Linked DNA regions of Danio rerio. The protein of the gene in region 7 purifies or fractionates together with the protein of the main gene of each other region. This does not show direct contact. Links are inferred from orthologs where the notes say so. Each region holds a gene or a part of one and is shown on either strand. Other genes may lie near its edges. The genes, in order: mms22l, mcm4, chd4b, paf1, csnk2a2b, chd1 and ssrp1b.

The links.
Region 1: the proteins of ssrp1b (region 7) and mms22l purify together in Homo sapiens (affinity purification with mass spectrometry; 3 studies listed by BioGRID and IntAct, counting the BioPlex papers as one, with this or other methods). This does not show direct contact. The link is inferred for Danio rerio from reciprocal best matches to the Homo sapiens genes SSRP1 and MMS22L.
Region 2: the proteins of ssrp1b (region 7) and mcm4 purify together in Homo sapiens (affinity purification with mass spectrometry; 4 studies listed by BioGRID and IntAct, counting the BioPlex papers as one, with this or other methods). This does not show direct contact. The link is inferred for Danio rerio from reciprocal best matches to the Homo sapiens genes SSRP1 and MCM4.
Region 3: the proteins of ssrp1b (region 7) and chd4b purify together in Homo sapiens (affinity purification with mass spectrometry; 3 studies listed by BioGRID and IntAct, with this or other methods). This does not show direct contact. The link is inferred for Danio rerio from reciprocal best matches to the Homo sapiens genes SSRP1 and CHD4.
Region 4: the proteins of ssrp1b (region 7) and paf1 fractionate together in Homo sapiens (co-fractionation; 3 studies listed by BioGRID and IntAct, with this or other methods). This does not show direct contact. The link is inferred for Danio rerio from reciprocal best matches to the Homo sapiens genes SSRP1 and PAF1.
Region 5: the proteins of ssrp1b (region 7) and csnk2a2b purify together in Homo sapiens (affinity purification with western blotting; 3 studies listed by BioGRID and IntAct, with this or other methods). This does not show direct contact. The link is inferred for Danio rerio from reciprocal best matches to the Homo sapiens genes SSRP1 and CSNK2A2.
Region 6: the proteins of ssrp1b (region 7) and chd1 purify together in Homo sapiens (affinity purification with mass spectrometry; 3 studies listed by BioGRID and IntAct, with this or other methods). This does not show direct contact. The link is inferred for Danio rerio from reciprocal best matches to the Homo sapiens genes SSRP1 and CHD1.

The regions. Positions count from the first base shown.
Region 1 is NC_133191.1:35,484,937-35,488,352, forward strand, and holds part of mms22l (protein MMS22-like), read right to left. Parts: coding exon 3,384-3,416; intron 3,304-3,383; coding exon 3,147-3,303; intron 1,199-3,146; coding exon 1,029-1,198; intron 923-1,028; coding exon 711-922; intron 616-710; coding exon 449-615; intron 1-448. UniProt on the Homo sapiens protein: Component of the MMS22L-TONSL complex, a complex that promotes homologous recombination-mediated repair of double-strand breaks (DSBs) at stalled or collapsed replication forks.
Region 2 is NC_133199.1:39,267,970-39,271,469, forward strand, and holds part of mcm4 (DNA replication licensing factor MCM4), read right to left. Parts: intron 1,009-3,500; coding exon 870-1,008; intron 1-869. UniProt on the Homo sapiens protein: Acts as a component of the MCM2-7 complex (MCM complex) which is the replicative helicase essential for 'once per cell cycle' DNA replication initiation and elongation in eukaryotic cells.
Region 3 is NC_133191.1:34,957,595-34,960,032, reverse strand, and holds part of chd4b (chromodomain-helicase-DNA-binding protein 4), read left to right. Parts: coding exon 1-63; intron 64-143; coding exon 144-252; intron 253-1,992; coding exon 1,993-2,125; intron 2,126-2,214; coding exon 2,215-2,410; intron 2,411-2,438. UniProt on the Homo sapiens protein: ATP-dependent chromatin-remodeling factor that binds and distorts nucleosomal DNA. Acts as a component of the histone deacetylase NuRD complex which participates in the remodeling of chromatin.
Region 4 is NC_133190.1:51,599,024-51,602,973, forward strand, and holds the start of paf1 (RNA polymerase II-associated factor 1 homolog), read right to left. Parts: upstream 2,801-3,950; 5' UTR 2,684-2,800; coding exon 2,637-2,683; intron 2,422-2,636; coding exon 2,392-2,421; intron 1,306-2,391; coding exon 1,213-1,305; intron 1,117-1,212; coding exon 995-1,116; intron 784-994; coding exon 717-783; intron 143-716; coding exon 41-142; intron 1-40. UniProt on the Homo sapiens protein: Component of the PAF1 complex (PAF1C) which has multiple functions during transcription by RNA polymerase II and is implicated in regulation of development and maintenance of embryonic stem cell pluripotency.
Region 5 is NC_133200.1:14,587,696-14,591,759, reverse strand, and holds the start of csnk2a2b (casein kinase II subunit alpha'), read left to right. Parts: upstream 1-1,264; 5' UTR 1,265-2,113; coding exon 2,114-2,217; intron 2,218-4,064.
Region 6 is NC_133185.1:7,058,563-7,062,062, forward strand, and holds part of chd1 (chromodomain-helicase-DNA-binding protein 1), read right to left. Parts: intron 1,740-3,500; coding exon 1,549-1,739; intron 1,295-1,548; coding exon 1,106-1,294; intron 1-1,105. UniProt on the Homo sapiens protein: ATP-dependent chromatin-remodeling factor which functions as substrate recognition component of the transcription regulatory histone acetylation (HAT) complex SAGA. Regulates polymerase II transcription.
Region 7 is NC_133176.1:47,969,413-47,973,520, forward strand, and holds the start of ssrp1b (FACT complex subunit SSRP1), read left to right. Parts: upstream 1-1,308; 5' UTR 1,309-1,370; intron 1,371-1,755; exon of another isoform or gene 1,756-1,771; 5' UTR 1,772-1,792; coding exon 1,793-1,846; intron 1,847-1,932; coding exon 1,933-2,118; intron 2,119-2,215; coding exon 2,216-2,321; intron 2,322-4,108. Other genes in the region: pold4 (DNA polymerase delta subunit 4), read right to left, coding at 108-209, 1,132-1,156. UniProt on the Homo sapiens protein: Component of the FACT complex, a general chromatin factor that acts to reorganize nucleosomes. The FACT complex is involved in multiple processes that require DNA as a template such as mRNA elongation, DNA replication and DNA repair.

The DNA.
Region 1 (3,416 bases), on a different chromosome or scaffold from region 7:
TGCCTGTATGTGTGTGAGACCGGGCAAAAGCGCTCCTTTACAGCTCTGTTATGCCGCGAGCAGCTTTTTTCTTTATTTATTTTGGAGACAATACACAATATAAATACAACAGAAAGACATAAAACTTAACAAATTATGTGCCCACTTTCGTAGACTTTAAACAATATAGTGTCATATCTTGATAAAATAGCCTGAGCTATATTGAAATATAATTTAAAGAATTACAAATATCGGATTTGACAGTCTTGATGAAAATTTGTGAGATTTTGTCAAATCTAGTGATTTCTAAAAGATAACATTTCACAGGAGGAATTGTAGTACTAGAATCACTTACAGAGACTTTTTTTCAGCTTTTGAGTGCTAAATTTAGAACCAATGACTTTAAGTTTAACACGCTTTTCAAAAACATCATGTGAATGGACCTTCATCTGGCATGTCCCCTGCCTACCTTGTGGTTCATTCACCAGCATTAAACAGCGCAGCACTGAAGGAAGGGGTATCGTGAGCAGGGCAGGATCTCTGTCACTGTTCCTTTTCAGGAGCTCCAACAGAAAACAGAGAACAGCTGCAAGTCGAGGAGGAGGAGCGAGACCTTTAAACTGGAGGAAGTTCTCTCTGCAGAAACAGAAACTATTGTTGAAAATCTGGACATCTGTTTCTCTAGGTGTAAACATGAAATCATGCTAAAAAAGAAGAGGAAAGACTTGCACCTCAGCACATGCAGAATGCTCTTCCTGAGTCTTTCACCCTGTGGACTGGGTGTAGATTCACAGGCCGCCAGCAGGACAGGATGATTGACCACTGCTCCAGTAGAGGGTGTGGCTGGGAGGAAGCGGCTAAGGTACTGTGAAATGACACTGTGCTGCTGCTGCTTCAGGTACGCCCCCTGAGAATGGGACACGCTCACTGCCACGGACAAACCCTAGAGATGCCAACACAATCTCAGTTAAGATCACAATTAACAATGACCTCAGGATTTCCTAAAAGATTGAGTATAAAGTGAGTATTGGATTAGGAGGCGCATTAACCTGCAGGAACATAGGCAGACTGTCTTTGAGGGCTGACAGCATTTGAGTGTGTGCAGCAGTGTCCTGTTGGAGGAGAGCGTGGGGCAGTAAAAGCACATCTACAATGCGGAAGAGCAGCTGCTGGGCTTTAGAGGTGGCCAATAGGTGGCTCCAGTGCTTGACCAAACAGCCTGAAAAATGTACAGTCACAATAAGTTTATAGTAAACATGAAGTTCGCCACCACAGGTTTGAGATGTACCAAATACTCATGAGAGAAAAAAAGCGCAATAAGTCATAATCTTGGGTGCGTTTATGAAAACCATTGCTAGCCACAAGTGCTAGTTCACAAGTTCAATCGTTACAAACATAAGCTGCGTCCCAAATGGCACACTATACACTCATGCACTATGTACTTATGCACTTACACACTCAACAGGATAGTATATGTATGTAGTGGTGTCCCAAATGGCACACTAATGTTTTTTTACTAAGTGGAAATTCAATTATCAAAGAATTATCAAATAATACCTGCCGTGAGTATTGCTGCATTCACCATCGGGAGGCGCTATAATCACTCTCGTAGGAGAATTTTGCTTTCACCATCCATAAAAAAATAATAATAATAAAATAAAAATAAAGTTATTCAACATGTGCGTCCGATAGCTCCGACCCTTCCGCTACGTAAGCAAACCTGCGGTCGTTGAGTGCGTGAAGTGTCCATCATTACACACTTCATTTTAGCGGCTGAATGAGTGCATCATCCGGGTAATTAAAGTGCACTAATTATTTTTAGAGTTTTCAGTGTGAACACACTACTTACACTATTTATACTACAAAATGGCGTAGAATAGTGCATAAGTATGCGATTTGGGACGCAGCTATAGTTCATTGATTTGTTGTTTCCCAAATCCATCATTCCAATGAACATTCACAAACTTGTACGCTTTCAATTACACCTCTAGAGCTGTAGTTAGAAGCATAGTTCCTGGTTGTGTTACAGTCCCAGTTATCTTCCCTATACCCTATTCCTTTCAAACATTCCATCATTTAAACTTAGAATGATAAACAAGCATTCAAGTAATCTCCCTTAGGTGTCATTTGCTTTAAATGTATTTTTAACAGTTTAGTTATAGCGATCTTCATATTGAAAATTGCAACCCATTCATAGTGCACGAAACCATTTATGCCATTTTGAACGCAGCCAAGGCTCATGACGAAGACTATAGATGTCCTATTATTTAAATGCAGAATTTTCACCTCCAAAGCTTTAGAAAACAAAAATATATAGCATACGCTAATGGTTTTAATTTATTAATTAGGAAATGTATCTGTACTGTATATGACATAGGCCTGTTGGTTACAACATATCTGCAGTGGTTTGAATGTGTCAAAGTTAAACAAAATAAATAAATTAATACATAAATAAAACAATATCCTACTTAATAATATAATAATAATAATTATTATAAACTATTATTATTATAAGGAGGATTTTTTTTTCATTTCTTAATAAATAGCCAACTGTAAATTATAACCATTAATGGTTTATATATGAGAGTAGAATACATGTTCGCTTTGGTTTTATGTTTTAGAATAGAATATATTTTCAATAGTATTTGTAATGGAAAGATATGGTCTATATGTGCTGTTTACATATATTTTAATTATGGAAAACGAGAGCATGATTTTCCCAAAACTAACACTGGAATTTTTTTAACGCATGTACGTGTAAAACAATATAACTTGCACAACATTTATTTGTTTTTTCTCCAAAGAAGTTGTTACCACCCCATTTAGAGTGTCCTTATAGATGTTTTATGTTATAACTAACATGATTCAAACAATGGATCTGCGACAAAGCAACTATCATTTTGGGAAACACGTCACTACATCGTTCTTTTCCCAAACAATGCATCGTACTATGGTAGTTTAGTTGCGTTGTTGTTTGAGAAACGCACCCCTGATTGGTTGAATTCTACTTTATATTTGTGTCATGCTCTTTAAAGGATGTCACACACCGGATGCGCCGCGACATGTCGCGCACATGACAGTTGAAAGTATCGCACACCAGACGTGCACATTCACATGCTATTTAAAATGAAACTAATCAAAATTACATCATGTCAAAAGACACTGACCTATGGTCCAGTACGCTAGGTGTAGGCCCTCCCGGCTCTTGTTCTGCAGGTAAGGCTTGATGTATTTAAGGATATCTCCTACATACTCCAATGCTCGAGACACTGCTGAAGAACGCTCAGAAAGAAGCTGGAGCTCACAGTAGGATCGGCCCACAGCCTGACAAACAACAAACACAGTATTTACAGGATGAAATACAGCAAGGCTTATATATTAGAGCTTGCGGTTTGAGACTGTACCTTGAGGAACACTGCCATCGCAGCTTTGGGGTC
Region 2 (3,500 bases), on a different chromosome or scaffold from region 7:
TGATATTCCTGACACAATCAGTGATAGACTGACGGCAATAACTCACACTTACCCTAAACAGATCTAAATTGTTTCCTACAAAAATACAAGGTCGGTTATGTTTCACAGCTGTCTTCTTTTTTTTCTTTCGCTTGATATGAGAACTGCTCTGTTTAAGCCTTCACCATAGTAGTCATATAAAAAGCGAATAGGTCATGGGTTATTGTTCCCAAATTATGAATCTGAATTATGTAGAAGCACTGTCCATGCGTGTTTCCTCGTCGGTTAGTAACGCTTTATGTCATTGCACAACAATTAGCCTATCAGGCTTTTTGGCTAAAAAGAAAGAAATCCCCGTTTAATAAGTTATTATTAGATTATATTTAAATTTCACCTCTCCTGCTTTGCATGAACTAAGCTAGGCTAAGCTAGCTTCAATTTTGATTAAATTATTCTCTAACTGGTTGCCTATTATGTCGCGAATATACCCCTGTAATGCATAGTGCAGCCTATTTGTGCCTTTCTTTCTTGGATATCTCATTTGTTCGCCAAAATAGGACTAACTATATCCCTGGGAATGTCTGACACTGGCGCATACACATTGTAATAGACGTGCCAGGCACGAAAGCTTGACAGGCGTATTAACAGTAACTAAGGAAGGCAGAGCTTAGCAAAGGGTCAATTTGGTGCCGTGACCCGGATAGAGACTGAAATCAAGAAATTCCTCACCAATTTGGTGCTGTGACCCAGTGATAAGACTAAAATCACCAAAGTCTTACCAATTTGGTGCCGTGACCCTGATAGAGACTGAAATCTCCAAAATCTCACCAATTTGGTGCCGTGACCCAGGTATAGAGCATTAAATCACTAATTTCCAGCAGGTTCCTTACCTTCAGGATTGAGGTTGCGCATGTTTCTGGTTTTAATAGCGCTGTAGGGTCGCACTTGAATCTGATGCTCCAACACAGAGTCTGGAAAACGATCGAAGAAGAGCTCATTGACAGACATGTCGAAAGTGGGGATGACTTCCTGTGAATGGAAAAAGTTAGAAACTTTAGACAAAGTCACATTTTAATAAATCAGAGTTTAGGTTTTTGTAGGCATACACAGCACTGCAACACTTATTTGACTAAAAGCACAAATCGCTAATAATGAGAATTATCAAAACAATCTTTAATGTGATTTATTATTATAAACCTAAAGGAAACCTATTATGCCCTATTTTGCAAGATGTAAAATAAGTCTCTGATGTCCCTAGAATGTGTGTGTGAAGTTTCAGCTCAAAATACACACAAATAATGTTTTAGAACTCTTTAAAGCTGCCCGTTTAGGCTTTGATCCAAATTGTGTCATTTTTGTGAGTGTCGCTTTAAATTTAAATGAGACTGTACTCTTCTCAAAAGAGGGTGGAGTTTAAAAACACCTATGTCACCATAGCAGCAGATAACTCTAATGTCAGACGGCTGCTTCTCACTCAGGGCTGTTTATGCTAATGAGGGAGAGATGGTCACTAATGGGCGGGGCTTCCCCCCCTCTGATGACATGTACAAAGGATGAATGTCAATCAAAGTGTTTCTGTTGATTGTTTGATTATAAAAACTAAAACCCATTAAACTCATAAAACACATTTTTACCATTAGAAGCTGGTTATATTCACACAGTTACCACACAACTGTTTCTGTTTTTGCATAAAAGGTCTTCTTTAAAAGATCTTTTCTTATCATTTAAAGTCTGTGAAATCCAAATGTGTTCATTTTGCTAGTGCTATTGAGTGTTATTCTTTATGTGAACAATCAATCCGTGCAAGTAATCTTCAAAGTCTGGCCTAGAGCTGCACAATTAATCGTAAAAAGATCGCAATCTCGAATCGACCCCCTAGACCAGTGGTCACCAAACTTATTCCTGGAGGGCCGGTGCCCTACAGATTTTAGCTCCAACTCTAATCAAACACACCTGAACAAGCTAATCAAGGTCTTACTAGGTATACTTAAAACATCCAGGCAGGTGTGTTGAGGCAAGTTGGAGCTAAACACTGCAGGGACACCAGCCCTCCAGGACCGAGATTGGTGACCCCTGCCCTAGACGATCTTCATCCAGCATTTCTATGATTCTGCCAATCATATTTTCAAGTTCAGGGGAAAAGCAAAGGCGGCTGCACGAGTCTTTTCATTCTTTCACATACATTGCTCAGCAACATGGACACCTCCAAATGATGTTGAATGAGTCACATACTGTATTTATAAGGTATAATTCACCTAAAAATGTCATTTTTGTCTTCATATAATGCTGTATTCAAGGCCGGGAAATCAAATGTGACGTGAACTATAGTGCGGGTGTGTGCCCTACTTGCGCGTCTCCTTTAGTGAACAGAACTTGCTGTGAGTAACGGGTAATAAAATTGTAAATAATATTCCGTTTGTGGCACAGAGTGATCGCTTGGGTGCCGCGTGTGAAGTATGAACAGCACATGAAACCGAAAGTGTGCACTTTATTTAAATGATCATATCACATTTTAGAGTTATGACTGCGACAAGCATTTGATATGTTTTTCTTTTATAGCGAACACACAGTTGTGCATGAAAATAAATGTTTAAAGAGTCAGTATAACTACTCTAGCCTATATAATGTTGATTTTACCAGTGAATTAAACGGTCGAATAATGTTGTCAATGATTGCATGCATAGGCCTATATCTCAAACATAATTCAACATCAGAATTATTATAAGTAGAATGGAATTATTTATAGAAACCAGTAGACCTACACATAATACCAATATTGTTGTTTTACCATATGTTTGGGAAAAAACAATAATAATTGCCGACTCATAATAACCTTTATTTTACATCTACAGAATCGTGAGAGAATCAATCTTTGTTTTAACCCAAAAAAATAAAAAATAAATAAAATAAAAATGTAAAAAAAAAATTGCGATTCTCATTTTAGCCAAAATCGTGCAGCTCTAGTTTGGCCATTTGCTTTTCTAGTGGCGTCTGTTTGATGCTTTATGTACTTAACCACGCCCCTCTTACCATTAGTGAGGGAATGATGCGCAAAGAGAAAGCCCCGCCTCCTGCTCAATACTGCATTTCAGTTGGAAGTACATCAACATACTGATATGAAAATCTTTCAAGTAAAGCTAAATTGTGAATTGTCACATCACGCTTCAGAACTAATTCTGATGTGATGATATGGTGCTCAAGAAACATTTCAGATTAAATAAACAAATATTAATGCTGTGAGTATTTGATGTAATGAAAGTTCAAAAGAATCACATTTTTAACATTATAAAAGCCTTTACTGTCACTTGACCAATTTAGAGGACTTCCAGTATGCAGTTTGGAGAGTGAGATGTGTACGGGAGTCACTCCGTAAATTTGATCTAATTCAAACAGTTAAAAAGGACATTTTGGGCTTTTAATGATTTAAAGTGACGTCCACAATGGTAAAGATCTTTCAAATCCAGCTAGAACCAGCTAGTTTTCCTCATCAGTATGCCAAAACCCAAGCATGTTTCTCCTGA
Region 3 (2,438 bases), on a different chromosome or scaffold from region 7:
AGGAGAAAAAGAAAGCAGTGAAGCAGAGGTTCATGTTTAACATCGCTGATGGAGGTTTCACAGGTACGATGGGAATTTACTGTGTGTGTGTGTATGTGCTGGCCAATTTCGAATCAATGAACTCTCTGTTTTTCTCTCTGCAGAGCTGCACTCACTCTGGCAGAATGAAGAGAGAGCCGCTACAGTCACCAAGAAGACTTATGAGATCTGGCATCGTCGCCATGACTACTGGCTCCTGGCTGGGATCATATTGTATCCTTATTGGTGAAATTACATTTATCGTTTTGGTAATTAGTGCTTGATTCACTAAAAGGAGGTAGACATATATTTTATTGTTTGTGTTATTTAGAATACAGTCCCAGGTCGAAGTTTGGAAGCACACTCATTCCTAATTATTGCATTTTTTAATAACGCAGGCTATTAAAACTAAACTGTATGACAAATAAAAGTATGAAGTCAGAAGTCGGGAAACAAACCATTTTTTTTTAATAAAGAAATTTTTTATTGAAATTCGAAAAATTGTGTACACATGTAGTGATTAAATCAATTATTGCCATTATAAACAATCTGGTAACACTTTACAATAAGGTTCATTAGTTAATGCATTTACTAACATTACCTAATAATGAACAACACGCGTACAGCATTTATTAATCATAATTGAACATTTACTAATGCATTATTAACATTCAAGTCAATGCTTGTTAACATTAGTTAATGCACCATGAGTTAACATGAACTAACAATGAACTGCTGTATTTTCATTAACTAACATTGACTAATATGAACAAATACAGTAGTAAATGTATTGTTCATTATTTGTTCATGTTAGTAAATGCATTAATCAACATTAACTAATGAACCTTATTGTAAAGTGTGACCAACAATTTATTTGATACTTTAAGCTCTGTTTTTATAAAGAAAATCTTTTACACTTTAACCCTTGTGTTCTGTTGTGGATGTTTTCATCCACTTTGGGGTGACTTTAAGTCTTAATTTAGCCACAACTTTCTCACTTTCAGCAAATGGATTGATTTGGAAAAATGCCAAACAATACACTATGGTTAATACTACCCTTTTGTTATAATGGTGGCTGTTTTGCTCATTTGCTATTTTTTGATCGCAAAGCCATGACACAATATATAATCATGCATTCTTGATTGTTGCTGATGTTCCTGTTGGAAAGAGGTAAAATGTTTAATTGTTACTGTTTTTTTTTTTTTTTAATCAGTTGCAGTGCAAAAATGCATAGTTTCTGGCATCTATATATGGAGTACAGTGTGTGTGTGTGTGTGTGTGTGTGTATGTGTGTTTGAGAAAGAGAGACCTTTGCGCACTTATCTTTATATGTCTGAGAAAATCTAAATAAGCAACTCTTCTCTAAAAACATAGTAAGTGTATTTACTCTTACTATATATATATATATATTTTTTTTTCGTGTGTGTGTTTTTTTTTACTCTATTTACACTCATTCTTCTACTCAATAGTATTCCATATAAAAGCCAGACACTTTTTCTTAACGGTGCCAACTGATGGTCAACAGTAAAAATTACACATTTTACCTCTTCCCAACAGGAAAAACCACCAACAATCATGAATGCATGATTACATGCTGCCATCCCTTTGCAATCAAAAAATGTCTTTATAATGGAAGTCAGTGTGGCAAACACAGTCATAAACAATAACGAAGGGGTAGTCAATTTAAAGAGTACAAGGGTTAACAATTTATATTTACTGAACTTAAACACTAAAAAATGAACTACCCTGATCCAGTTACTATGACCATTTATGTAAAGCTGCTTTGACAATCTACATTGTAAAAGCGCTATACAAATAAAGCTGAATCGAATTGAATTGAATATTTCAACAAAGCTGTGGGTTTCAACTTATTATATATCTCATATGTAACTGCTGCTAGTTTATTTTTGAATAATATTCATCTTCAAACTGAACTATTTTCAAAACTATTGTCCTTAACCTTTGTACTATTAGCCATGGTTATGCCCGCTGGCAGGATGTGCAGAATGACCCGAGGTTCGCCATCCTCAATGAACCGTTTAAAGGAGAAATGAGCAGAGGGAACTTCCTCGAGATTAAAAACAAGTTCCTTGCTCGCAGGTTTAAGGTCAGAGATGTACAGAAACTGCCCGCTAAAGTTTGCCCAGAGGTGCATTTGTTAGCTCCTCTTTCAACAGGACCATTTGTCTCTTTTAGCTGTTGGAACAGGCTCTGGTGATTGAGGAGCAGCTCAGACGTGCTGCGTATTTAAACATGACTGAAGATCCTTCTCACCCCTCAATGGCACTGAACACGCGCTTCAGTGAGGTGGAGTGTCTGGCAGAGTCACACCAGCATCTCAGCAAGGAGTCTATGTCAGGAAACAAGCCTGCTAATGCAGTTCTACACAAAGGTACAGCAATCCCCATAACAATATAGTG
Region 4 (3,950 bases), on a different chromosome or scaffold from region 7:
TAATGTCAGAGAGGTCAAAGGTCAGACAGGTGTCACTCACTTGACTTCCACCTTCTCGTTGGAGACGCCGTATCTGTTGAACTCAGTGGAGATGTACTCCGTCTTCCTCATCCACGGCACCACCTTCGCATGCTGCTGTGACCTAAACACACACACACACACACACACACACACACATATTATATACACAAACAGGCACACATTGCACACACACGTACACACATTATATACACCACGACATACACGCACATTAAACATGCAGATGTAGATAACACACAAATGCAGACAAACACATGCAGAGATCAGAAACACACACACACACACACACACACACACACACACACACACACACACGTATTACACATCAATATTTACACACCAAAACACATGCAGATGAAGAGACACGTACTATGCACAAAACACAATACACCTATAACACACATACACACACACGCATTCATGCACACACACAAACAAACAAACATTTATACACACACACACACACACACAAACACACTCAAACATTCATACACACAGAAACAGTCATGCACGCACACACACAGGTTATACACACACACGCAAACATACATGCAAAAACACACACTCAGGTTTTATATATACATACACACAGGAACACATGGAGATGAACACACACACACACAAACACACACAAAACAGGTCAAAGGTCAGCTGATAGCTCTCTCTCTCTCTCTTACCTCTTTGAGCTGGATGGAGCCTGGATCTCCTCCTCCAGCAGCTTCTCATCAGCAGGATCCAGCAGAACTGAGACACACACACACACACACACACACACACACACACACACACACACACACACACACACAGGTCAACCGCTTTACATATTGCTGAACAGAAAAGCTCGTTAAATATTAGACGACCATTTAATATCAAAAACATTCAGACTTAAAGTTTCATGTTAAAGTGTGTGTGTGTGTGTGTGTGTGTGTGTGTGTGTGTGTGTGTGTGTTCTCACTGTTGGGGTCGATGCGGTATGTGTCTGGGTTGATGAGGTCGATGGTGACGCCCAGATCCGGCTCGGTCAGCAGCTCATGCTTGTGCTGTTTCTCCAGGGATGTGGCTTTATACTGCACAAACCTGAAACACACACACGCACACACACACAGTCACCACACAAAGCCCAGGCCTTCAGAACGCTGTGTGTGTGTGTGTGTGTGTGTGTAAGAACCCCACCTGTGCTGGTCAAACGGATAGGTGATGAACTTGGGGTCAAACGGGATGTCCGGGAGACTGTTTCCATACTTGACTCTGCACACCACACCAGACCTGCAACACGCACACACACACACACACACACACACACACACACACACACACACACACACACACACACACATACACACACATACACACACACACACACACACACACACACACACACACACACACACACACACACACACACACACACAGGGACTGAAAAAGGCATTACAGAGCTCTCCCACAGTCAGCCATTGGCCAGACAGGCAGATGGCCCCGCCCCACCCTCACACCATTGGCTGAGTCAGATGTCACTTAAACACACAATCCTGCAGCACATCACAAAAGCATGCCTCCATTATAAATCTTAGCTAAATATTGAGTAATTTTTTCAAAAATTATGTTAAAAAAAGTGCTTCTGTTTCACGACTAAAATCAAAAGATGTAATTCCCAAAACTGCCTGGGATGCGCACTCCAGAATCTGCCCGGAAGTAGAGTCATCCGAGCACTTCTCACATACTGATTTTCCAATTCTATGAATTCGGACACTACTGATTTTAGCGTGCTATATAGTATGGAAGTATGCGGTTTCGGACGCAACCCATATCGTTTACAGTCATTGGTTGTGGAGCAAAGAAATTGAATATTAAAGTAGTGAACAGTGGGCGTGGCTTGTTTTCTCTACAGCGAGCTGATTGGATGTGGTAAAGTAGGCGTTTCATTCAGAAACATTGGGAAGAAGGTTTGAGGAGAGTTATTACAACCTAACAGACTCCTCCTCCTCACCATTTGTTGTCAGTGATAACAGTGAAAGGGGCGTGGTTAAGAATGTTAGCCCCACCCCACACCTCAGACTGACGCAATCTGAGAATTTCCAGATTTCAATTTTAGATTACAAGCCGCAAACTTGTTTCTGAATGACCTGCACAGAGGAACTGTTCAGCACAGAACCAGCAATGCGAGCGAACAACATCAACAAGGCTACTTTTGATTTCATGAGTACTCTAATCGCGTATTAGTGTTCATATCGCAAAATAAATAAAGAAAAAAACTAAATAAATAAATGACAGAACATCTCGCACTGTATTTCCCCCAACATCACGCAGACGGCCTTCACTGATCAATGAGCTGAATAGCGGTGGTGAGTTTACCTCTCTGGAACAGTCCTGTGTGCTGAACTCCTGCAGAAACACACATGAACATACCATCAGGAGACATTCATAAGCGCACAGTGTCCTGTTAGACTGCTCTACATGTGTGTATATCAGCTAGCGTGCTCTTAGACAGCTCTACATGTGTGTGTGTGTGTGTGTGTGTGTGTGTGTACATCAGTTTAACTGCTCTGCTGATGATAAGAGTGCGCGCTCGCGTGTTTATTATGGTTTATTCCTCTCACCGGTGTCCGTCCTCCCGCTGCGCCTGCGTCTGTATGGTAGGAGCCATGGAGGAGCAAAAACACGCGTCCCGTCAGCACTGATGATCGATAAACAACAAAGACACACACACAAAAATGAAGACTTCTGATCAGTTTATCGACAAAACAGCGGCGCGCGAGTCTGTGTGTCACTTCCGGCCAGCAGACGAGAGCAGCAGCAGGACCCTGAGCGGCTGCCCGATCACAGCCTGAGCAAAACTCACCGCTCTGGGACTCAAAATTAAAGCGATAATCATGTATTAACACGTTCAAAAACTGTTTCCATGAAGTAGAAACTGTTTTGAGGATTTATTACATCATAGAGGCGTGTGGTTTCAGTGAGTTCGCGTAAAACTAAACCCATATGTAAACTTTTAAACATTATCAAAGTTTTGTTATTAAATCGTGGTATTATATACTTTACTCCCTATTAAAAAAATTATTATTCGAATAGAATATGAACCATAAATAAAAACATAATTTTACAGTATAATCAGAGCTGAACATTTGTTACATTTACATGATTTTCAACTAAATGGTTATAATTTATGTGTATTATATTAGTTACAACTCTTTCGTGCTGTAGTATCAACTAGGGTGAACGGATAAACTGTAATAGGTACTGTAGCGTACTTTAGTTTTTACTACAGCAAACTGTGGTGTTTTGTAGTATAATATACTGTATAGCTCTAGAAAACCACAGTAATGGCTCATTTGCTCATGTCGCTGTAGCTCTTATGTTACCATAGCGACTGTAGAATCACCACAACAGATTAATTACTGTAGTTGTCGTGTTACCATAGCAACCGTAGAATCACATCAGACCAATACTATAATTGTTACCATAGCAACTGAAGAACCACCAAAACAGATCAATTACTGTAGTTGTCATATTACCATAGCAACCATGGAATCACAACAGACCAATACTATAATTATGTTACCATAGCAACTGTAGAATTACCAAAACAGATTAGTTACTATAGTTGCTGTTACCATAGGAACTACAAAATCACCACAACAGATTAATTACCGTAGTTGTCGTGTTACCATAGCAACCATGGAATCACAACAGACCAATACTATAATTCTGTTACCATAGCAACTGTAGAATAACCAAAACAGATTAATTACTGTAGATGTTGTTACCATAGCAACTGTAGAATCAACCCCAACAGATTACTGTAGTTGTTGTTGTTACCATAGCAACTGCAGAATCACCACAACAGATAATTACTGTAATTGTTGTTGTTACCATAGCAACTGTAAAATTAACCCCAACAGATCAATCACTGT
Region 5 (4,064 bases), on a different chromosome or scaffold from region 7:
CCACACAGAAACGCCAACTAAGCCGATGTTCGAACCAGTGACCTTGCTGTGAGGTGACAGCACTACCTACTGCGCAACAGCGTTGCCCTAGAAATTAGTCATTGAAACTATTATGTTTTATTATGTTTCTTTGTGGTCAAGAAAAAGAAACTATTATAGATCTTTTTTATCATTGTATTTACTCAAGAATATTTCAGAAATATTTGGAATTGTTTTTTAACAAAACAATGAAGCATAAGATAGAAATTTGTTTATTCGATGGGCTGTTTTATTCTGATAACGAGAACTTGAACTGTAAAGGACAACATATTTTTAATTTGTTTATGTTAGGAAAATACCAAATACATAAGAAAAAGTGGGCTCAGTGTAAACCAAACTTTTCCCATTTTCTGAATGACTTCAAATTATATATAAATCTTTAATTACAATCACAAAACAAAAAGCACTGAAAACATGTAATGCTCTGAAAACATTTTTCATGTAAATGTGTTTTTATTTATTTATTTTCGATATTTTTCTCTTTCAGAAAGCTATGTGAAATGTATATCTTGTTCTTGTGGCATTAATAAAACCAAAGAAAAAGAAGAATTTGGCCATTTGAATGACATAAAAATAAAACACAATATACTACTACTAATAATAATAATGTAGAGCTTCACGATTTTTGTAGTCTCTCTGGTAAAAAAGTAGGCCTACATTTGGAAAACCATGGACAACAACAAAAGCAAAATTGGTATTCAAATTATTAGGCTGCTGGTGCTTCACACCTTTTTATCGAATCGATCACTTTTTGTTTCAAAAATAAAAGTCACTTGTGCAATGTTTTCTTTATTTAAAAACAGTACAGTAGCAAAAAGATGACTTCACTTCATCAGAGTGTATTGTTTCTCGCACAGCTGGAGTTTTAGTGTTGGCTAAAACTGATTAGCTGAAGTCACAACAACCTTTTTCAATGCATGGGTTATTTTCACAATGTATGATGGCGTAGCATTCAAAATAGTACACATGAGCTCGTATGATCCAAATTCTGGATGCGGTTTGCCAGAATATACCCTGACCATCCTGACCGTCTTTCGAACCACCCGAGCCCTCCCCCTGGCCTGGCTACGGGACTGTTGTTCATGCGTCAGTCTGTTGTGCAAACGGAAGTGTTTCACATATGGGCGCATAGCAACGGACAGACGTGCCCACTGGCCATAGCAACTTGTACTTCCGGATTTTCGATGCTAATTGATAAAGCTACCATGAGCTTCCGGGTCAAACCGTAGCTGTCCGTTTTTTCCTGCAGCAGCACGGGGGGGATTGGTCCGGAAAACCCGAACCCCGCTAACAAGCACAGCACTGCACGGGATTATAAACGTTTTTCGCGATTCCTGCATAACGGCTACGCACGCGACGTCACTGTGACACGGTTTTTAGCGGAGATCAGTTAAACATCGATCTCGAGTCCACCGCCTCCCGTTCTCTCTCTCTCCGTCTCTCTCTCTCTCTCTCTCTAACCAGTCAATATCCAGCTTAGGCACTGGTTAGTTAAATTCTACTCACTCACCGTGGACTATATTTTGCAACGCCACTTACTCCAGACTGAGAGGAATCACATCCTGGCGCTTTTTGTTTTTCTTCTCGGTTCTCTATGCTTTGGATTTAGGGATTTGGGGCCCCTTTGGGGTGGTGGGGGGGTTTAACCCACAATAATTAGATTTAAACAAACCCCCCCGCCTACTATCTATTTTTAAACTTTTCACAAAACTTCAACACATTCAGATCGGAAATAGACGTCGCATTCGCACTGCCGGAGCATTTCACAGACTATCCACCATTCATTTTCAACCCTCTCGGAGCTCCAGGCGGTCAGAGCGCCGCTGACAAGCCGGGGAACGAGCGCTGCTCAGCGGCCAACGCGCTTTATCTTTTCCGCCGCTGCTATCAGATATCGCACGCCTCAATCGGATACAATCACATCTCCTGGCTGGTCTGCCTATAATCGCTGATCTTTCGTTTGTGTGTGTGTGAGTTTGTGTGTTTGCGCGTTTATCTCTTATTTTATTTTATTTTTGCGTGTTTTGGTTTGGATTTGGAGATTTCTCGTACACCCTGAGCCCCGTCACGCGCCATGCCCGGCCCGGTGGCCGGTAGTAAGTCTCGGGTGTATGCCGATGTCAACACTTTGAAGAGCAGGGAATACTGGGACTATGAGGCCCACGTGCCCACCTGGAGGTGAGAGATTAAGCTATAAAAAGCCCGAGTGCATCATCATCCAATGTTGTGTGTCTCAAAACCAGCTGCCTATATCCGTGCGCGTTTTGCGTGTGTCTGCTGCTTTCCTTTGCGCAGTGGTTCACATTGTAGGTTCGCTATCGATCGTGCTGGGAAAGTCATCAATCTGCGATCGAGCAGCCCCTGTTTGAGCTGCTGCTGATGATGATGATGAGAGGATGACATGAACGGATTTACAGATGCAGCGTTAGAGAGAGCTGTGTGTGTGTGTGTCCTCTTCAGCAACCACAGATTTTATGCAAATGCACTCATTCCCTCAAGTGTGCAATGCACATCTAGTAATTACCATTCTAAACCAGTGCACTAATAGAACATTTAGTGGTTTTAATGGTTGGATTCCTCTGAAGGAGTTAATGTGTTTCTGTTTTGCACGGTGCACATATATAATTACAAGCTTGATGAATGCGCTGTCATTATTTATTAGGGTTTTTTTTTTGTGTTTTTTCCCCCGTAGAATATGGAATTATAATACTTTAGCATTTTTCATGTAATTCTACATTTAAGGAACTCATCATGGTATAGTTCACCCAAAATGAGCATTCTGTCACCATTTACTCACGCTTGTTCTTAACATTTATGAGTTTCTCCTGTTGAACACAAGATAACATGTTTTGAAAGAACTCAAAAACTGGCAATATTCATAGTAGGAACTAAAGTACTATAGAAGTCGTAAATTCTTCAAAATATCTTCATTTGTGTCTGTCTGTCTATCATCTGTCGTTCTATCTTTCTGTCATTCTATCTACCGTTCTATATGTTGTTCTTTCTATCTATCTGTCTGTCTTTCTGTCGTTCTATCTTTGGTTCTAGCCATCTAATTTTCTATCTAGCCATATTGATTTATCTATCGTGCAATCTGTCTATCATTATGCCTATCATACTACCTGTCTAATGTTCTATCTATCTATCTATCTATCTATCTATCTATCTATCTATCTATCTATCTATCTATCTATCTATCTATCTATCTATCTATCTATCTATCTATCTATCTATATGTCTGTCTGTCTGTCTGTCTGTCTGTCTGTCTGTCTCTCTGCCTGCCTGCCTGCCTGCCTGCCTGCCTGTCTGTCGTTCTATCTATGGTTCTAGCCATCTAATTTTGTCTATCTAGCCATGTTGATTTATATATTTTGCAATCTGTCTATCATTTTATCTTTCTGTCATCATACTATCTATCTATCTATCTATCTATCTATCTATCTATCTATCTATCTATCTATCTATCTATCTATCTATCTATCTATCTATCTATCTATCTATCTATCTATCTATCTATCTATCTATCTATCTATCTATCTATCTATCTATCTGTCTGTCTGTCCTGCCTGCCTGCCTGCCTGCCTGCCTGCCTGCCTGCCTGCCGTCTATCCATCTATCTATCGTTCTATCTATATCTGTCTGTCTGTCCATTTGTCTATTGCATAATCATAGTATCTCTATCTATCTATCTATCTATCTATCTATCTATCTATCTATCTATCTATCTATCTATCTATCTATCTATCTATCTATCTATCTATCTATCCATCCATCCATCCATCCATCCATCCATCCATCCATCCATCCATCCATCCATCCATCCATCCATCCATCCATCCATCCATCCATCCATCCATCCATCCATCCATCCATCCATCCATCCATCCATCCATCCATCCATCCATCCATCCATCCATCCATCCATCCATCCATCCATCCATAGCATTTTTCATATAGGTCTTCATTCATGGAACTGATCATGTTGACTAACATAACACTTTAATGGTTATTTTAGTTGTGATTCA
Region 6 (3,500 bases), on a different chromosome or scaffold from region 7:
GGACCTAGTTAAAAACCAGACAGATCAGCCAGCATAATAGAGAGGAGCAAATCGCATCAAGTGATCATTATTTAAAAGAGGATAAAAGAAAAATAGATTAAATATATTAATTTATATTAGACACACATCTGGTGCTTGTATTTACTCCTCCTATACGTCCACAACTTCACGCATTGGGTTAAATGAGGCTTTACAGTATCCATGTTCAGTCCTTTTTCTTCCACTGCATCTTTTTAAAAAAAAGGCAGCAGCATTACAACCTGTCATTCAATCAGAAGACAAAGTTAAAGCGGAGCTGACTGCCAATATTTCCTAGGCTCAGCAAAACTAGCAAAAATACCTCTGTATTCCTGCAAGTGCAATATTTACAAAAATATTTCTTAATCAAATCTTCAGCAACGCTTTTGAACTTGTGAATTTGTTTTACATTTATTTACACCTTGACCGATTTCTGTATGACATGGCCATTAAAAATACAATGTTCCTTCACCAGATGGTTTTTCAAGTTACTTTTAAAGAGAATGTTACTTCAGTCATGTTGTTGTAATGTTTTGAGAAGATTAGTAACACAATAAAAAAAAAAAAAAAAATCGAAATCGGTCAAACTTTATAAAAAAATAGATTTTTTTTTTGCTAAATCGCCCAGCCCTAGCTCACACATACACTCTGCACTACTTCAATATTGTTGACAAGCCGTGCTGGACATTTCACTCTGTCTCACGCTGAACGCTGCCGACCAATCGCAACAGACTGTCATCAGTCCAATCAGTCCAGATTAGCATCGCACTAAGGAGGGGTTTGGGAACAAATGAATCACTGAACGAATCATATGGGAGTCTCTGGGATAATTATGTAAAGATAAATGCATTTTATAAGACAATGAAAGTGTTTTTTGACCTTGCATGCATATCAGCCTGTTGTTGGAGACCCCCAAAATCAAAATATGAACCTTTTTAATGTATAATAGGGGCTCTTACCATTACCAGAGAATTTTACTTTTCATTAAGACCACAAAGAATCATATCAACTTGTGTAAAATAAGCATCTGATGAATCACCTTTAATGTCTCTCTGTACTGTATTCTATATGAATGTGGTTGTCTTACTTGTAGTATTGTTTCTGAACCGCGCTCATCTCCACCCGGAGGATCTGTTCCACCTTGGCAGGCAGAGATTTCTCCACATCCTTCTTTACTCTGCGCAGCAGGAATGGCTCCAGCTCCTTATGAAGGCTTGTGTAGCCCGAATCCCTGCCTTTCCCATGTTCCTCTTCAAACATCTCCCACGAGTGAAACCTGCCAACATGATGGTTTATATCAGTGACATCTGACTTGCATGCTGTATTAAACCAATACAAGAAAGAGGTTAGCTCTTATCTCTAGGGTTTCTCAGCACTAACCACTTAAAAATAAACACAAAAGACTAAAAGAGCTTAAGAAATACCACATGAAAAGTTCGCCTGCGTGTAGAAGCACTTCTAAAATAAAGCCTGTGGCTACACTGGGAACTGAATAACAAAAGCTGACTGAAATCATGAGAGAACACCTACTTTTCAGGCATGATGAAGTGTAGCAGAGACCAGAGCTCTTTGAGGGAGTTCTGGAGGGGTGTGCCAGTGATCAGGAGCCTGTGATTGGACTTGAACTCTATCATAGTCTTGTAGAGCAGAGAGTCATCGTTCTTCAGCCGATGGGCCTCGTCTACACCAATGAACGCCCAGCTTACATTTCCTAAAAATGACTACAAGAGGAAAAAAATGTTACATACAATAACCAGAGTTCACATTTAAAAGGCGCAGCATGCAAGTTTAACACTCAGTGGTTGAACTAGGTGTTGTCAGATACCTAGCAGGATGTCAGATTGACGACACCAACAACGTAAACTCACATTTTCAAAGCAAAATAACTGACTTCTGCATTGTTTAAATGATAAACAATAAGGTTCAACTAGCATGTTTCTTAAAAATCTGCAAACGTACGGTTAATTTATGCTTCAGACGAGTCAAAAACTTACATACAGCACCTTTCAAGCCACAACTTTCACTGATTAAAAAGCTGAATCTCCAGGACATCTAATGAATGAAAAACATAGCTACTATGAGAATAACAGTGGATAGTACTTATTGTTTGCATGGCTGTGAAGTGCTCCCTCTACCATGTTTGGTTTCATCATCAGATAGTTTAACAAAATGTATATGTAGCTTTTATATTGCATACTTTTACACTCAGCATTTGAAGTGGTCATCTGGAAGCCAAATCTCTTAAAATGTCTTTTATCCTAGGCATGTTAACTTTGGTAAAGATACAGTGACAAGGTACAGCGAGGTAAAAAATAGTGATAAATAGGTGGGGGAAAAAAATAGCTTATCCATAACAATACAGAGCTTATTTATAAATACATATACATACTACAGGTGGGCATAGACTAATTTTTTAATCTAGATTAATCTCACTGTAATCTTGGATAAAATCTAGATTAAAATGGTTCATTTGAATTCTGCCGAAGGTGTTGAGAATGTGTGCTACCCAAATAATGACTAAAGGTAAGTCTTTGAGAATGGGTTCTTCAAGCCAGGTGGCGCATTAGACCAGGGGCTCATCTCCTGTTTCCAAAATGCTTCACAAACTGCTTGAGAATCTGTTCTACTATGATTATTGGTGATGAAAATAAATGATGTTCAATAAGGTGTACTTGTGTTTACTAACTGTTTATTCAGTTAAACATGAATTTTGAACTGTAGGCCTACATAAGCTCCAAACAGCCATTTTTGATTACTTTAATCCGACTGAAGTCAAAACTGAACTAAACAAAAATGGAATTAAGACATGTGGAGTATGCAGATATTAGTGGCATTATTGAAGTAAACACCGCAATCAAACTATTACCGTCATGTAGGACTTTGCCATATTTTCCAACAAGATCCACACATGCGGCTGTCAGTAAATGGCCGCAGACACACACACATTGCGAAATGTGGAAGTTTTTTCTTTCCATTTGGCGTGCGTTATTAAACTCATAACACTCTCACCAGTCCTTACTCCTTATTGATGTCTTATACCCCAGTTTGTCACAGGGGCATGGATGAAGTGTTCATGAGTGAATGTGAAACTGCCGAACTGCAGGTAAAGTCACCAAAAATTACACGAAAATCTTACATGAAAGCACGTCACGTAAACACCTTAATTATATTAGTGTCTATTACAGCAAATAACTAGATTACAAATGTCCATGTAAGCGTAGTCAGTATGTCTTCGAAGTGAAAGATTCAGAAGGGCATCCAGCTGATTTGATTCTTTTTTCTCACAGGCTTAACTTTCATTCATTTTATAAAGCACCCGGCCCATTTTATGTGTATATGTTTTACTCGAACGCGTAAACTCTACAGGTGCCTGATAGTTAAAGCTAACATTAATCAGATTCACTCTAGTCAACTGCATCCATGTTAGCACGTCATGTTTGATGTGATAATTTCACAGTAGGAATACACACAGATTCGAAGAC
Region 7 (4,108 bases):
TGGTTGCATGTGCCTCTAAAGCATTTGCACACTTTAGGACCATAGTGATATGGAATGATTTCTGCTTAAAGATGCATGTTAACACACAGAACAAAATACTATCTGACCTGCTTTCGGTGGTGAAGGAGACTTGCTTCTCTTGCCTCCTCTCCTTGCCTTCTTCACAACCTTAAAGGTGTCGGTGATGAGGCCACGCTTTGGTGTCATATCTGAAATAAAGCAAACAATGAGCAATACATATGCTACAGTATGTATGTAACTTCAATCAATGAACTATCGATAAATGGTAATGCATTAAAATGAATATATACTTTGAAAGTGTTTTCAGTTATACAATAATTAAAGAGATAGTTCACACAGAATGAAAATTCCTAAACTTTTGTTCTGTTGCACACAAAAGAAGATATTCTGAAGAATGTTGGAAAAATTATCAAAAACAAGTCATAGGCTGTTTTTTATTTCAACATTCTTCAGATTATCTTGTTTTTGTTTAACAGAAGAACGAATCTCAAACAAGTTTGGAACAAGTGAAGGATGAGTAAATGATGACAGAATTTTCTTTTTTTGGGGTGAACTATCCCCTTTAAGAGTCTTTGTTCCAGTGTTTTTACACACACACACACACACACACACAAAAAAAAAACTATATTTAACTTATTATAATAGTATATGTTTAAGAAAAGGGGTTGGTATCAGTTTATCATGCGTAATTATAAATAATTCACTGTTATTACTTTAGTAAGTACAAGGCACATGTAAACAACAGTTTCAGTATTTTCATTGTTAGTACATGTTAACTAACGTGTTAGCTTCCTAGTTTAAACGTGATGTAGCATAATAAGATATATCAACAAGTTAAATCGAGGTAAATACATAATGTTGTAACGTCAATAATGTTGTAAATACTCTGGCTGTGAGAGCACAAAGAGCAGGACATGCAAATACTATCTTACTAGATGCTTTCGGTCTAAAACATAAAATAAGCAATGCATTCTGTGTAGCATTTCATTTTAATTTCTAAATAAATTGCATTAAAATCACCAGTAAAGGCGATCTTTATTTATTGATCCATCGAACAACAGTGCTTGAAACACTACTGTCAAAAAAGTATATCTGAAATATATTGCATACCTGGACGCTGATAGGATATCGTCATATGATAAATTATTTGTAAATGTTGACAGCAGCAGTCTTCATCAATAAAGCCTTTTAACTTTCCCTTTGTGTTTCGATCGTTTACAAAACAGACTGACGTTCGATAGGCAGGGCTGAGCCACGCACACTGCGCGATTGCGTCATGACGAAGGCGTTCCTGCGCGCCGCACATCTACGCTCACGGGACTCGGCCTTGATCCTCTCGCCGAATAACAGTAATACTCATTCAAATTTCTCGCATATTTCATAACATATGCAACAAAAGCGTTCGAAATGTACTAAGCCTGCTGTAAATTTGCTGTAAATTTGCAAACGTGTCGTTCGTCACAAAAGCCGCTGTTTGATGCCTGAACGCCAGCTTTGCTAGCTTTATTTGTTTATTATTAGACATCATCTCGCTGTGCAGCCACAAAATAATAACACTCGCAAAAGCTTTTCTTAAAGCACAAAGCTAGATTTTTACATCCAAAACAACCTATAATAAAAGTCTACTGTTGACACCAGAGTAAACTGGGAGTTTTCTATCATTCATAACACATTCATATTGCCATTTGCAGTGGAAATTGTATAATGTATAATGTATATTAATAACTGTCGCAGCTTTTAAACGTCACAGGTCCATTCTGTCTACTCTGACATGAGTGACACTTTGGAGTTCAATGAAATTTATCAGGAGGTCAAGGGCTCATGGGTGAGTTAAAAAAGGTTTTGTTCTCTAACTTGAGGTGTTTTTCTATCAAACTCTCAATAAAGTTGACCGACTGTCTTTTCTTGTAGAATGACGGCCGCCTGCGCTTCAGTAAGCAGACAGTGGTGTATAAAAACAGTAAGACCGGGAAGGTGGACACTATTCCGGTCCCTGAACTCACTCAGGCCCAGTGGAGGAGAGTCTGTCTGGGTCACGGCATCAAACTATGGACCAGCACTGGCCACATCTACAAATATGATGGCTTTAAAGACGCAGTGAGTCTGAGATGCAAATTACAGATCAATTGATCACTCAGTTTGATCCGCTGTTTCATTCCAGGTCTTAAATTTTCATCCGTTTCTTTTTGCGCAGGACCTTGAGAAGATCTCAGAATACTTCAAAGACAACTACAAAGTGGAGCTAACAGAGAAAGACATGTGTGTTAAGGGCTGGAATTGGGGCACTGCTAAATTTAATGGTCAGTGCATTCCTGTTGCAACGCTTTTTGTCTGAGATATTCAGTTAAAGTCAGAATTATTAGCCATTCTGAATTATTAGCCCCCCTGTTTATTTTTTCCCCCAATTTCTGTTTAACAGAGAGATTTTCTCAACACATTTCTAAACATAATAGTTTTAATAACTCATTTCTAATAACTGATTTATTTTATCTTTACCATGATGCCAGTAAATAATATTTAACTAGATATTTGTAAGACACTTCTATACAGCTTAAAGTGACATTTAAAGGCTTAACTAGGTCAATTAGGTTAACTAGGCAGGTTAGGGTAATTAGGCAAGTTATTGTATAGTGATGGTTTGTTCTGTAGACCATCGGACACAAATAGCTTAAAGGGGCTAATAACTTTGTCTTTGAAGTGTTTTTAAAAAATGTAAAACTGCTTTTCTTCTAGCCAAAATACAACAAATAAGATTTTCTCCAGAAGAAAACATTATCAGACATACTGTGAAAATTTCATTGCTCTGTTTTAACAAACAGGTTTGTTACTAGAATGGTCAGGCAGGCAACAGTCAACAGGGTAAAACAGATACATACAGAGAATCCAGAGTCGTGGTCATAGAACAGGCGAATGGTCGGAACAAGCAGCAAAGAATCAAAACAAAGAGACAAAGGGTTAAAACACAGCTAGGCTAAACAGGGAGAAAACACGTCGTAATGCTCACAGATAAACAAGACTCAAAAAAGTGTGTGTGTGTGTGTGTGTGTGTGTGTGTAATCAACAGAGAACTGGAACAGGTGTGTGTGAGGTGCATGACAGGATTCGTTGGTCTAGATCGCTGGTGATTGTGACAGTAGTGACCTTAAACACTGTTTTTTAGTATGTTTGTCTTCCAAAAGTATGGAGCAAATAATATGGAAAAACAATCTGAATTTAAATTGTGCAAATTTGAATCACAATAGCAATTGTAATTTAATAAAATTTAATATTAAATGCTATTAAACTGTTTGAATTTGAATTTCTTAACTTGAATATTGAACATCTGAAATTTAAGACAACTGAATTTTTTCAGATTTCTATTGACGTATTTTCAAACTTCAGATTTTTTCGTTCTAAATTTATAGATTGCAGATATTGAGCTTGTGAAAATACAGTTTTGAGTTTTCAAGATGAAGAAATTCAGAGCATCGAATTCAATATTTTAAATTTTAAAACCAGAAAATCAGATTGTGAAATTCAGATTTAGCAAAAAGTAGGTCAGGGGTCATCAACAGTGAAGAAAATTCAGATTGTTTTGGCATATTATTCGCTCCATATCAAAGAACCTTTCGATGAACATATCTTTAAAGCTTTTTAATAATCAAAAGCAAAATAACACTATAAAAATAGGTTTCTTGTATGTTATGTATGGTGATGTGAATCGGTAATTGTAATTAAAATGTTTGATTTTTTTAACTAATTATAAAAATGTAATAAATACAAAAATACATATTATTAAACATGATGTAGCTAATTCAAGGTAAATACATAATGTTGTAGTGTAAATGTTGTAAATACTCAGGCTGTTGGAGCACTAAGAGCAGGACATACAAGATGTCTTACAAGATGTTCTCGCCTCGCCTTTTCGCCAGCTGACTTTATTGTAAGACAAAATAAGCAATGCATTCTGTGTAGCATTTTACTTTCAATTGTAATTACAATTTGCTTTAGATTTTTTTCAATTAATTATAAAAATGTAATAAGTCCATAAAATATATATTATTGTGATACTATTGCACAGTATATAACAGTAATATTATTTTTATAA